Arabidopsis thaliana: one gene and its partner. The protein of the gene in region 2 interacts with the protein of the main gene of each other region in a pairwise test. Each region holds a gene or a part of one and is shown on either strand. Other genes may lie near its edges. The genes, in order: CYCT1;4 and CDKC2.

Region 1 (6,691 bases), on a different chromosome or scaffold from region 2:
TACACGAGATTCTTCTTTTTATGAATTGTTTTTATCCATTCTTCGATTGTTGTTTGTGAAATTGTGATTGATTATGTGTAATTATGTAGTGGCTTTGGATAGAGTAACTTCAGATTCAGAGATCTGTGGCTAAGGACTTGTTTTTCTAACTTAGTGATTTTCATTTACGGTTTTGCTTCTGTTTTTCATCCTTCTTAATCCTTTTTCTTTTGGCTCCTCCAATTGGTTTTCCATAGAGACAAGGTGCAAAATCGTTTGAAGGATTCTTTGTTCAACAAAGATATGGAATGCAACAAGGAGGAAGCTATAAGAGCAATGGATATTGCTAAGAGGAAAGTTGCAGAGAATGATTACAACGGGGCTAAGCTTTTTGCTAACAAGGCTCAGGATTTGTATCCGAAACTTGATGGTTTAAGACAAGTGATGATGTTGATCGATGTGTATATCTCAGCAGGAAATACAATTAGTGGAGGAGAATCTGATTGGTATGGAATTCTTGGTGTTGATCCTTTGGCTGATGAGGAAGTAGTGAAGAAACAGTATAAGAGGCTAGCTCTTTTGCTTCATCCTGACAAGAACAATTGTGAAGGCGCAGAGGGTGCGTTTAAGCTTGTGTTAGCTGCTTGGTGTTTGTTATCTGATAAGGTTAAGAGAATTGCTTATGATCAGAAGAGGAAGTTGAACGAAGTTAAACCGAAAAGGAGTCGAAAGCAGAAACAACCTCCAAAGAAACCACCAAATCAGCCGAAACAACAACCAAATCAGCAGAAACAACCACCAGATCAGCAGAAGCAGCCACCAAATCAGCCTAGACAGCCACCAAACCAGCAGAAGCAACCACAAAACGAGCCGAAACAACCACCAAACCAGCCTAAACAACCACCAAATCAAGCAAGTACTAATGGTAGAGCTAGAAGCAAAAAGCCCACTTCCAAAGTTTCTATCTTTTGGACAATGTGCAACAAATGCGAGACACAATATGAGTATGTGAGGGTTTATTATCTTAACAAGACCGTACTTTGCCGAAATTGCCGTGGGAATTTTAAGGCAACTGAGATAGAGAAAACACCAACTGAGAAGGAAAAAACACCAACTGAGAAAGAGGAAACACCACAAGCAACAAACAAGAACACAAATGGTGCTTCGTCTTCTTGTGATAGAGATTCTTCACTAAATGTTAATTTTGATTCTAGTTTTCGACGGGATTCTTCTTTATCAAGAATGAGTTACTTTAACAGTGGAAATGTGGCAAATCAAGCAGAAGAAAGAGGGAAAAGAGAGGTAAGGGAGTCAGAAGAAGAAGCTGGTAGAGGAATTGCAAACTCTGATTTGAAAGTAGAAGAGAGAGTTTTTAAGAAGCTGAGGACAGATAACTATGCAGAGTCAAGTAGTGAAATCAAGGTGTGAAGTAAGCTGAGGACAGATAATTAGAAGTTTAACAGTGAAGTAGGAACTATGACATTTAGAAGTTTAACAATCAATGATTTTATGATTATGATATTTGAATATTTTGCATCTAGACTAGGATCTTGTACAGTGGAACCAGGTTAGTTCTTCTTCCTGTCATCTTCAATGTTGAATCTGAAATGTCAAAGCTTTATTTTATTTTTGTTAACAATGTGTGCTTTAACAACGTGAGTCAAATTAATCAAAGTGGGTTCACTTAAATTGTTGGAAGAAATTTTACTTCCACTAACTAAATATTTCCTTCTTCGGTCCCTTCATTCTCAAAAGTTTTTACTTTTGTCCCCAAATATTTTAACGGAGAAGATTTAGTCTCCTACTTCGGGTCATCATATATCACTTGAAAATCGGGATATTCGTTAAAAATCCCCCTTTTTTTTTTTTCTTTTCTTGCTTCCTCCCTTTTTTTTTTTTTTTGTTCTTTCCTTTCTCGCGTTTCTTCTCCTAGGGTTAGGGTTCGACGAACGCAGCTGTTCCACGCGTTTAGTTTCAATTCTCCATCGAAGAAGCCATAATCCGGTGCGTAATCATCGTTTTTGTTATATGTTTCCGATTAGGTGTATTATTTTCCGTTTGTTTTCTCGGGTTTGGTAGTTTCACGAACTTTTGCATCTCTCAGATCTATTGTACGTTTTTTCCTTCGTTTGTGACGGATTTTTCTGTGAAAAGAGTTTAAATTTCCATGGAGAATTACTCGATTATCTCTAATTTAACTCTTTGGCAATCAAATTTTTCGATTTTATTGTTTTTTTCTGGATGCGTGAGCTTAGTTATGAACAAGGAGGGTCAACTCGTTTACATGATTCTCTATTCACAGTATTTTCGTGGGAAAGGAGCAATTATGTTTTTGTTTTCATGATTCATGTCTTTATGTTGCATATTTTGGCCCCTTTTACTCTCATTTAGACTATGTGGTGTTTGTTTTGATGCCATTGTTTTGATTTTCCATCAATTAGTAATTTTTTCAGTCCGAATTTCAATTCTTCGTCATTGACCTTGTTGATGATTCCTGTGCTTTCAGATTCCTAAAGAGCTTACATTTGTTACTCAACTTTAAAGTTTTGACGCTAGAGATTACTATCCTCTTGCTGGGAACTCAACGTGACCAGGTATAAATCTCAGCTCATAGATAAGCAAAGTAGTTTTTTTCTACATCTCTTAGATTTGTACCCTTTTTAGCTCACAGTATCAGTTCAATAACCAAGCTGATCCCTCTTATGAACTTACATTCATTGGTTCTGTTTTTGCTAGACTGTGTTTGAAAGATAGCAATGGCTGGAGTATTAGCTGGGGATTGTTCATTCGGTGAGAGTGGTGTTTCATCTTACTCCAGGAATTCCAATGAAAAGCAGGACGAGGTTGCCCGCTGGTATTTTGGAAGAAAAGAAATTGAAGAAAATTCACCTTCAAGGTTGGATAGTATTGACTTAAAGAAGGAAACATACCTCCGCAAGTCATACTGTACATTTTTGCAGGATTTAGGCATGAGATTAAAAGTGTAAGTATAAATTTCTGACCTATATATTTCAGCTTTATACATTGCATTTTCCATTTGATTACTTCTTGCGAGCTTGGTCTAGGACATGCTAGTTTCTCCTACCATGATAATTGCCTCTATTTTGCTTATAGTATTATAGTGAATTCTTGATCCCCTTACATTAGGTTCTGTAGGATCGAATTTTGAAATTTATAGAACTTGATATCGTAGAGGTCATTAGAGCATGAATAAGCTAGTCAGAGTTATTGCCTTATTGGCAACAAAAAGGTGAAACTTGTGGGTTCATCTTGTGTTGTATGGCCCAATAGTCCTTTAATGGCTTTCTGAAATTTAGTATATAGTGATGAACACAATACTCTGAATTTATCTTCATATTGACATGGTTTCATTTGCACTGATAGCTTTCACTTTTGGCTCTCTCAATGAACGCGGCTAATATATTTTTCTAATACAGTCCTCAGGTTACAATAGCTACCGCAATTATCTTCTGTCATCGATTCTTCATTCGCCAGTCACATGCTAGGAATGACAGAAGGGTGAGTATATATTCTTTGCACATGGCGTTGTGAATACTTATATACATGGGCCTACTGTTTGTTGTTCGAGCCAGTCTGCTGCTATCTTTGTTTGCATGTATTTGAAGCATTAAATGGCTCCTTTTCCTTGCGTCCGCTTATATTCATTGTCTCCATGTCTCTGCCAGTTTCCTTTGTATATATATAGAGAGAGCAAATCGGCTGATGCATTAGATGAATATACACTGACTTCTCGCGAATATTCCTGCCATGAATATTAAGCGTTCTCTTAGTCTATTTGGTTAATGCATCTAGTTCTTTGTCCATATTTATCCTTCTAGAAACTAGCGCAGAACAGTATTAAGATTATTACTGAGTCCTTTTTCCATGTTGTCCTCCCTCCTCACCCAGACGATTGCTACAGTCTGCATGTTCCTTGCGGGAAAAGTGGAAGAAACTCCTAGGCCGTTAAAAGATGTTATTGTTGTCTCCTATGAGATAATACACAAGAAGGATCCTACTACTGCACAGAAAATCAAGCAAAAGGTCTGAATATTCTAAACTTTCTCTAATCCGGTTTCCTGTTTAGTAATAAGCGAATTTGCACTGTTTCTCGCATATTCTATTTTACTATGACATAAGTTTTCTACTAAACCCAGGATTGCACTTGTTTGTGAACAATCCTCCTATGATCATTGTCCTTGTCGTTGGATCTCTCATCTGTGCTGGTCACCGTCTCTATTATTTCTCTTCTTTGTACTGAACGTATTTCACTTTTGCAGGAAGTATATGAGCAACAAAAAGAGCTTATACTAAATGGAGAAAAGATTGTACTTTCTACGCTGGGATTTGACTTCAATGTTTATCATCCTTATAAGCCTCTTGTAGAAGCGATAAAGAAATTTAAGGTCGCACAGAATGCTCTGGCCCAAGTTGCATGGAATTTTGTTAACGATGGGTACGTTAAAAGTCTGTTTCCTTGAAAGCTTCAGATAGATCTATCTGTCTTGTATTTTCTTCTTCATACAATGAAAAGATGCTTGCAGTCTGCGGACGTCACTCTGCCTGCAATTTAAGCCTCACCACATTGCGGCGGGAGCAATTTTTCTTGCTGCGAAGTTCCTTAAAGTGAAATTACCATCAGATGGAGAGAAGGTCTGGTGGCAAGAATTTGATGTCACACCTCGACAACTAGAGGGTGAGAGAACTATCTTTATCTTTGAATTAATTTTATGAAACTGTTTCCACTTTTTCTGTTTGACTTGTATGCCTTATTTTGCATCTGATGCTAAGAGCTACTCCCTTATGTATACTGCAGATGTTAGCAACCAAATGCTTGAGCTCTATGAGCAAAACCGTGTTCCTGCATCTCAAGTAAGCGAAGTCGAAAGTAGTGTAGGTGGAGGATCAGCTCATCATGTTGGGTCTAGGCCATCAGCACGTCTAACTCATGAACATTCAAATTCTGATAATCTCGGGGGCTCGACAAAAGCTACACAAAACCGGAGCAATGATAATGGGAGTGGTGAGGCAGGTAGTGTCATCACCGAGCAGAAGGGGGAAAGAGATACAGAAACGAAAGATAGCATGCATACTGAAAGTCATCCAGCCCATAAGTCTAGATCGGGAGTTGAGGCACCTGGGGAGGATAAAATAGAGAAAGCAGGTGCACATTTTCCAGAAGATGATAAATCTAGAATTGTTGGTACAGCTGATGTCACGGTCAGCCAATCCCCAAAAGACATAAAAATGTTTAGAGATAAGGTGAAGGCCAAACTAGAGGCGAAGAAGGTCCAAGGTGAAAAGACGAGAAAGAAGGATTTGGTGGATGAGGATGATTTGATAGAAAGAGAACTGGAAGACGTGGAATTAGCTGTTGAGGATGACAAAGATATACAAAACAAAAGCTCCATGGGTACAGAACATGGCGAGATTCTTGATGGAAACAACTTGGTGGTCAATACCGAGGAAGGTGAAATGATAGATGATGTTTCTTCAACAATGCCTAGCCGGAAGAGAAAAATGGAAAGTCCTTGTGAAAAACAGTTAGGAGAAGGAAAGAGACGACACGACAACAGTGAGAATGTGGAAGAAGGTCAGAAGACAAACCCAGGAGGAAGTAGTCATAGTTATGGTGACAGAGAGCCAAGAAGACACTCCCAAGAGAGGTAGATGATCAAAACCTTCTCATGGTCTATTAGAGACATTTCCCAACCATGATGCGAAATGAGTCCACTGTATTTACAATGTTGGTTATCTTTTCATTTTCCTTGGCACTTGTATTCAACAGTTGAGAAACTAAATCAGGTTTCCATCCATCCCATAGGATTTAGGGTCTCTATAATTTTGATCTTTGTTAGCATTCCCTTTTGTATATCGGGGGAATAAAAAAGAATTTTGACGAATTTATTTAGAGCCAAGACAATATTAGTGTTTTGTCATTCATTGCCGAAGGATGTTTTGATAATAACAATATGAAACAGAGTGGTCAATTGATTTGTCAATGTGTAGTTGTTTTTGTAAGGTTTGTTTTATGTTAAGTCCACTCGTAACCTTGTTCCCATTGTCATTATACTGCTTTTCGTATGTATCGGTTAGCTTGGTGACCAATCCGGTTAACCACAAAATCAGGCGGAATAGTTGTCAAATTAAAGAGCAAAAAAGACTCATGAAAAAGAGCTGTAGGGGTTTTCATTTTTTCAATTCGTTTTCAAAATTTTCAGGTTTAAAAATAAATACAGGTCTGAATTAATTCGCTCGGTTTGAATTTTCGGGTTTAGTCCAGTGTGATTTAGTCGGTTAAGTTGCTCAAAATTTTGGATTTGGTTCGGTTTATTCATTATCAAACACAAAAACACAAAAAAAGCCAACCTAAAGAAGGAACAACAAAAGACCTAAAAACCCTCTCGTCTTCTCTTCTTCTTCTTCTTCTTCTCCTTGCTCTCTCTTGTCGTCGGCGGCAGATTATTCAATCGTTAGGCTATCGTTCCGACACTCTACAGTCATTACAAACATTTCAATACAACAAAAACTCATCCTTTTCTTCTCTTATTAACCATAATTTCGGATTCCCTTTCTAAGTATACAGCTTTCCCAGAACGAGCTCTTGCAAAGCCAAAGAATGTAAGTATTTGTTTCTTTAGGGTTTTAGCGAATTCAATCTTAGTAAGTCATCTTCTTCTTTTTTCGACCTTTGTATAATTGCAGGTCGAGG
Region 2 (6,004 bases):
TTCATTGAGCTTCTTTTACCATTCTCTGGAGGTTCTTTAGCATTACTTTGGTTTTGAATTGCAGATAAGAACGGTTATGGTGGCACCCGGTGGAGAAGCATTAGGTGGTGTAGTTGGTGCATTCCGTCACATGATTCAAACTGAAGGTTTCTTTTCCCTATACAAAGGTCTTGTACCTTCACTTGTTAGTATGGCTCCATCGGGAGCTGTGTTCTACGGTGTCTATGATATTTTAAAATCAGCTTACCTTCATACACCGGAAGGTAAGAAACGGCTTGAACACATGAAGCAAGAAGGTGAAGAACTTAATGCTTTCGATCAACTCGAGCTTGGTCCCATGAGAACTTTGTTATATGGAGCAATCGCAGGGGCTTGCTCAGAAGCAGCAACATATCCGTTTGAAGTTGTGAGAAGGCGTTTACAAATGCAGTCACATGCTAAAAGGTTAAGCGCAGTGGCTACTTGTGTGAAGATCATTGAACAAGGAGGTGTTCCTGCTCTATATGCTGGCTTGATTCCCAGCTTATTGCAGGTTTGATTCCTTAATACTAGTCATAAATTAATCTCTTGAACCAGCTTATTGCAGGTTTTACAGCTTTGTGAATTATCTCACTATTGCAGGTTTTGCCTTCCGCGGCAATCAGTTACTTTGTTTACGAGTTCATGAAAGTTGTTCTGAAAGTAGAATCATCCGCATAAGACAATAAGCAATGAGAAATGACACAATTACTGCTGGAGCTGCTTCAGAGGAGAGTTTTTTCGTTTTCTTTTTGGGGTTTACACTGATTCGTGTAGTTTTTCCACACTTCATCGAAAACAGATAAGAGGTTGTGAAACGTTTTTTTGCAAGAAATAATAAGATTTGGGTAAAAATCCAATTTGGTTTCCTGTGTTCTGATATATAAACCTTGATTTAAACATACAACAATCACAGAATGTTTGGAAGAATGCCATTAAGACAAGAAATCAAATGAAAATAGATTCTCTTTCGCGAAGATAAGTCTTCATATCTAAAATCACAACTGCCTTAAAGACATCAAGCCAAGACCACACCATACGAGTCTCTTTGAGTTCTCTTTACGGTTGCCATCCATATTGTTGGTTTCTAGCACCACCCATAGGGTTCTGACCTCTTCCAGAGCCACCAGATCCACCATACTGACCACCACCTTGTGAGTAGTTGGGTGGTCCAACACCATAGCCACCGCTAGGTCCTCTAGGACCGGCGCCATATGGTGCACCACGACCTTGTGGAGGATATGCTCCGCTGCTGTAACCTCCACGGCTCTGATTATTATAACCACCAGTCTGGTTTCCGCTAGGAGGGTACCGGTTTGGAACAGGTGCACCACCACGGGGCTTTCCTCCATAGTAATGGCCACCAGCAGGTATTTGGGGTGGTGGTGCGTTGTTGTTCATAGGGTGGTTTGGTCCAGCAGGCCAAAGTGGAGCGGCATGAGACTGGCCAACACCGTGTTGCTGTGGAGGTAAACGAGAATGTTGCTGCTGTGGATGCTGCAGTTTCTGTTTTTTGGCTGCTTCCTCATTATGACGCATCTGTTGCCGTTTTTTCTTTGTCTGGAACTCATGTGATGATTCATATGTCGGTAGACTGTTGACATAACACAGTTTCAGTACAAGCTGAATCACTCACTAATTGTTCTTGATCGTCATTTGTGATGTATGATGAACCAAATGGGTTTTCATAACAAGAAAGTTAAGAGAATTTGATTACCTCTTTGGATCACATGGCAGCGGATCAGTCCAAAAGTACTCAGCATCAAGAGCATCCTTTGCGCATATTCTCTGTACCAACAGACAGGAAAATGAAAGGACTTAAATGTCTAGACCAAGGCTCTTAATTCTCTGTATTAAAAATTCTTTGGTACCTGAGATGGGTCAAGTACCAACATTTTCTCAAGTAGTTCAAGGGCATGGCGATCAAAGCTATAGCAGAAGAGAAAAGGACCAAATGAGATCTCCTGGATCAAAGTAACTGTTGCATAAAAGAGTCGCAACTACATAATGGTTTATACTTACTGTCTGTAGATCTCCCTTACGCGTCTCTTTAAGGGCCGAGATGATTTCATTTGGTTATACCAAGGCATCTTGGAAACTCCAGGCCAGTTGCTTTCATCAGGTGATCCACAAAGCTCATAAATCTTATTCAATTGTTCATTCTGGAAAGAAAAAAATATGACTAAAACGCTAAGTGGAAACATCATCAAAGAACACTGTAATAACACACACCACGATAATCATAAGATGAAATCCTGACCTCAGTTTTCCCAGGCAAGATTGGTTTTCCATTCAAAAGTTCAGCAAATATGCATCCAACTGACCACATGTCAATCGCTGGTCCATATTTAGTTGCACCAAGTAACAATTCAGGGGGCCTACAGCAATAAACAATGCATAAGTAGAGAAAAAGCTGCACGTATAAGCAATACTTATTCTTTGTCACTTTTTTGTATATAACTTCAAAGTTTGTAGGCATACATACCTATACCACAAAGTGATGACACGATTTGTGAGGTTTCCAGTATGATCATGAGAATATGACCGAGCAAGCCCAAAATCCGCTAGCTTTAAATTTCCCTCATTGTCAATAAGTAGATTCGAACCTGCACCAATATATTATAGGTTAACTAGCAAATAAAGACAAGAGAACAAAATGGTCAACAATGTATTTTGGGATATATTCACCTTTTATATCACGGTGAAGCACTTGATTCACATGACAATAGTGAAGCCCAGTCAGCAGTTGCTTCATGTAACACTTTTTTACATATGTTCAAATGTCAGACAAAGTCGGAACAATAAGGGTTTTTGCAAAGGCTACTACAACAAGGTGTCTAGCCATGCAATACCTTTATCTGAGGAACCGTAAATCTCAGTCCAGGACGATCAGCAAGTCCAGTCAAGTCATGATCCATGTACTCAAAGACCATGTAGATTCCACCCTTGTATTTGTTATTATCTAAAATTGAAGAAAAGCAACAAGCTTTAGGCCGTAAGCAGTTTAAATAGATCTCTCATAGTCGCATCTAAGTTGTACAGAAAATATTTCGATCTTGAATAAGTTTCACTAACCTGGCTTTCCTTGATCATCCCTATCTCGACCTTTTAAAGACAAAAACAGTCACAAAACTCTACATATCAAACTTAACACCCCTTTTGACAAAATTTCTAAAGCAATTACAAGCTAAGATAAGAGTTCCTTATTACCTGGAGAAGTAACAATCTCTTTCAAATGGATGACATTTTCATGATGCAGCTTCTTCAGAATTTTGATCTCCCGGATAGCGGTTATCGGAAACTCCATGCAAACAATGAAAACGGAAATATAAGTCATACGAAACTCACAAAAATTTGCAACTTGTCAAAGCTAGTACTGGTAGTTCAAATGTAGCTTACCCCTTCTCTTTCATTGTCCATACGGATCTTTTTCAGAGCCACGATTTCACCAGTTTTAATTTCTTTAGCCATGTACACTTGGCTGCAAAACCAAATTTTAATATATGAATCTAAACACCATCAAAAGAGACAGCTTCAGAAGTTTATTGCAACATATATATATATATATATATATATATATATATATATATATCTACCATACCAAGAATCTGAGAATTCCCAAATTCAATCAACAAAATCGAATTTATTGAGATAAGAGGCAAAGTTAAAATTCCTCAAATCAACAATATATGGATCAATAACTATATATAAACGTTTCACAATCAAAATTGTTTCAAAAAAACTTATATATCAAGTGGCCCTAGCGAAATCGTTCAAATTTGAGAAATTTCAGTCTTGAGCACGAGTACTCTGACAAAACCAAATAAATTGGAATCAAGGAACAAAACCCAGAAAAAAAAAGAATGGAGAAGAATACCCGTAAGTTCCTTCACCAATCTGTTCAAGCTTCTCGAAGCAATCGACACTACGAGATCCCCAAATCGGTGGAGGCTCCTCTAGATTTAACTGCCCAAAAGCCGCAGCCGCCATTATTCAACCGAATCTGAAAATTACCGAAGAATTCTGCAGCTTCGCCCTTGTCGCTCCTCTTCTCGCCTTCTTCTCTCCGGCTATTCTAAGGTTTTAGCCCTACCTTACAGTGTCGGCTTCGCGGAAAAACCTAAGCTTTTTTATCCGGAATCAATCTCTGGTTTAAACCGGTTATTACAACGAACCAAAATCAAACCGGTTAAATTCATGAGTCAAATTTTTAAGACGCTTTGACAATCTTGAGTTTTTGCTCAAGTGCTGAAATAGAAAAAGAATCGCTTCATATGAATCCCATTATTATATGAGAAGCTTCAAGCTCGTAATAAAGGGTGATTTAAGAGTTACTTCCAAATTATAATGTTCAACACAGTTACGGATGAGCGAAGTTTGGATACAATGACAAAATTTCAAGTTTGGACTTGTGAAATCTACAATTAGATCTTGATACGATCAAGTAGCGTTTCATCGACTAAACACACGCACTTGTAAGCAACCAGCAGTTCCTCAGCAATCTCATCTCCAAATCTCACAACATATTTCTCTAGAAAAGCTTCCTCAGTCATCTCAACAATGCCAACCATGTTCTTCTTCTTCTTCTCCTCTTTTAACAACAACCCTTTTTCCCTCAAGATCTGCAAAACTTTAAGCCTAGGAATCACCCTCTTCTCAAGATTATACGACAACACACAAGGACGTTTCGCCAAAGCTTCCCTCTCTAACCCCATTCTCTTCAAGTAAAACTCAAACCCCAGTGTAAGCTTATCTTCTGAGCACCGGATCAAACCTGGAGATCTTCGTATAATATCTGTTATCTCATCTTCAGAGAATCCATTAGCCATAAACAACTTAACCTTTCGATCAAACGTTTTCTCGCTCAAAGAACTTAACGAGATAACAGCGTGCACAAGCATCCTCGAGTTCAAAGTAAAACCAAGATCCAAAGCACGAGAGACATATCCTCTGAGTTTTTCCTCAGAGAGATTGAAGATTCTTGGCTGTCTTCTAAGTAAAGAAGCAAGCTGAGACCCAACAATTCCACAGGTTTCAAGGTATGAGATGTTTGGTAAGAGAAACAAGTTAGGGTCTCTACTGAGAAGAAGCCAACCACATCTACTAAGAATGACAGGAAGGTCTTCATGTTTTGGGGCAACAATCGATTTCAGAATCTCAACGGTAGGAATCAATTTCTTCACTAGACTTACACCAACGACTGATGAGTTTTGAGAGACGAACTTACCAAGACCAGAGCCAGTAAATCCAATATCTTTAAAGAATCGAAGTTTGGGTTCTAGAATTTTCTCCACGTTGTAGAACATCATTCGAGGATGGACCCGGATCGATTTCTGGATCTGGGTATCGGAAAAACTGTAACTTTTAAGCATTTGAATCACTGACCGAGGTTGTTCTAGGGATTTGAGGTTAGGGTAACGCATTGCGATGGCAATTGCTAGAGGTTTCTGGAACCCATTGTCCCTGAGAAACTCGACGAACGCTGGATTTGATATCGAAGCTGGTGTCGCATTCGAAGAGAAATGATGCAACGAGAGAGCTCGATCCCATCTCCGACCAAACTTTCTGGAATTGGAAACGAGAGAAGCTAGAAATTGCATCTTGGAAACGAAAGTTTAGGGTTTTACCAAAGCTTATTATTTTGTACAGTTAAGAATCATTCATGACTTTTCAACTATGGTTTCTATTTGATAAGATTAATTTATTTGAGATACAGTATTCAAAATATTACTAAAACAGAGATGAGTCTAGTGAGTAGCTGAGTACAATGAGTATATTTATACGAAAAAGTTCCTAATTTCTAAATCTCTCTATACACAAGCAATACATGTGGCTCATGACCACTCTGTTGATGAACAACCAGAGTCTCCTCTCCAAAAATTATTATCGAACTTTAAGAAGACAGAGATGAGAGAGTGGTGGTGGTTTGACTAGTTGACCATCTCTTGCCTCTCAAGCTTCCATAAGATAATTTTATTTGCAGACC

Evidence for each region.
Region 1: the proteins of CDKC2 (region 2) and CYCT1;4 interact in a protein complementation assay, tested with the Arabidopsis thaliana proteins (one study listed by BioGRID).

Annotation. Positions count from the first base shown.
Region 1 is NC_003075.7:10,670,884-10,677,574, forward strand, and holds CYCT1;4 (Cyclin family protein), read left to right. Parts: upstream 1-1,881; 5' UTR 1,882-1,983; intron 1,984-2,485; 5' UTR 2,486-2,573; intron 2,574-2,715; 5' UTR 2,716-2,735; coding exon 2,736-2,962; intron 2,963-3,416; coding exon 3,417-3,498; intron 3,499-3,888; coding exon 3,889-4,023; intron 4,024-4,259; coding exon 4,260-4,435; intron 4,436-4,523; coding exon 4,524-4,675; intron 4,676-4,795; coding exon 4,796-5,649; 3' UTR 5,650-6,046; downstream 6,047-6,691. Other genes in the region: AT4G19590 (Chaperone DnaJ-domain superfamily protein), read left to right, coding at 283-1,407; AT4G19610 (nucleotide/nucleic acid binding protein), read left to right, coding at 6,599-6,600, 6,685-6,691.
Region 2 is NC_003076.8:25,953,501-25,959,504, reverse strand, and holds CDKC2 (cyclin dependent kinase group C2), read right to left. Parts: upstream 4,132-6,004; 5' UTR 4,009-4,131; coding exon 3,896-4,008; intron 3,500-3,895; coding exon 3,418-3,499; exon of another isoform or gene 3,356-3,417; coding exon of another isoform or gene 3,320-3,355; coding exon 3,229-3,319; intron 3,124-3,228; coding exon 3,094-3,123; intron 2,981-3,093; coding exon 2,871-2,980; intron 2,780-2,870; coding exon 2,707-2,779; intron 2,625-2,706; coding exon 2,504-2,624; intron 2,397-2,503; coding exon 2,279-2,396; intron 2,181-2,278; coding exon 2,041-2,180; intron 1,948-2,040; coding exon 1,890-1,947; intron 1,807-1,889; coding exon 1,736-1,806; intron 1,613-1,735; coding exon 1,078-1,612; 3' UTR 700-1,077; coding exon of another isoform or gene 622-699; 3' UTR 614-621; intron 539-613; downstream 1-538. Other genes in the region: AT5G64970 (Mitochondrial substrate carrier family protein), read left to right, coding at 65-532, 622-699; AT5G64950 (Mitochondrial transcription termination factor family protein), read right to left, coding at 4,443-5,618.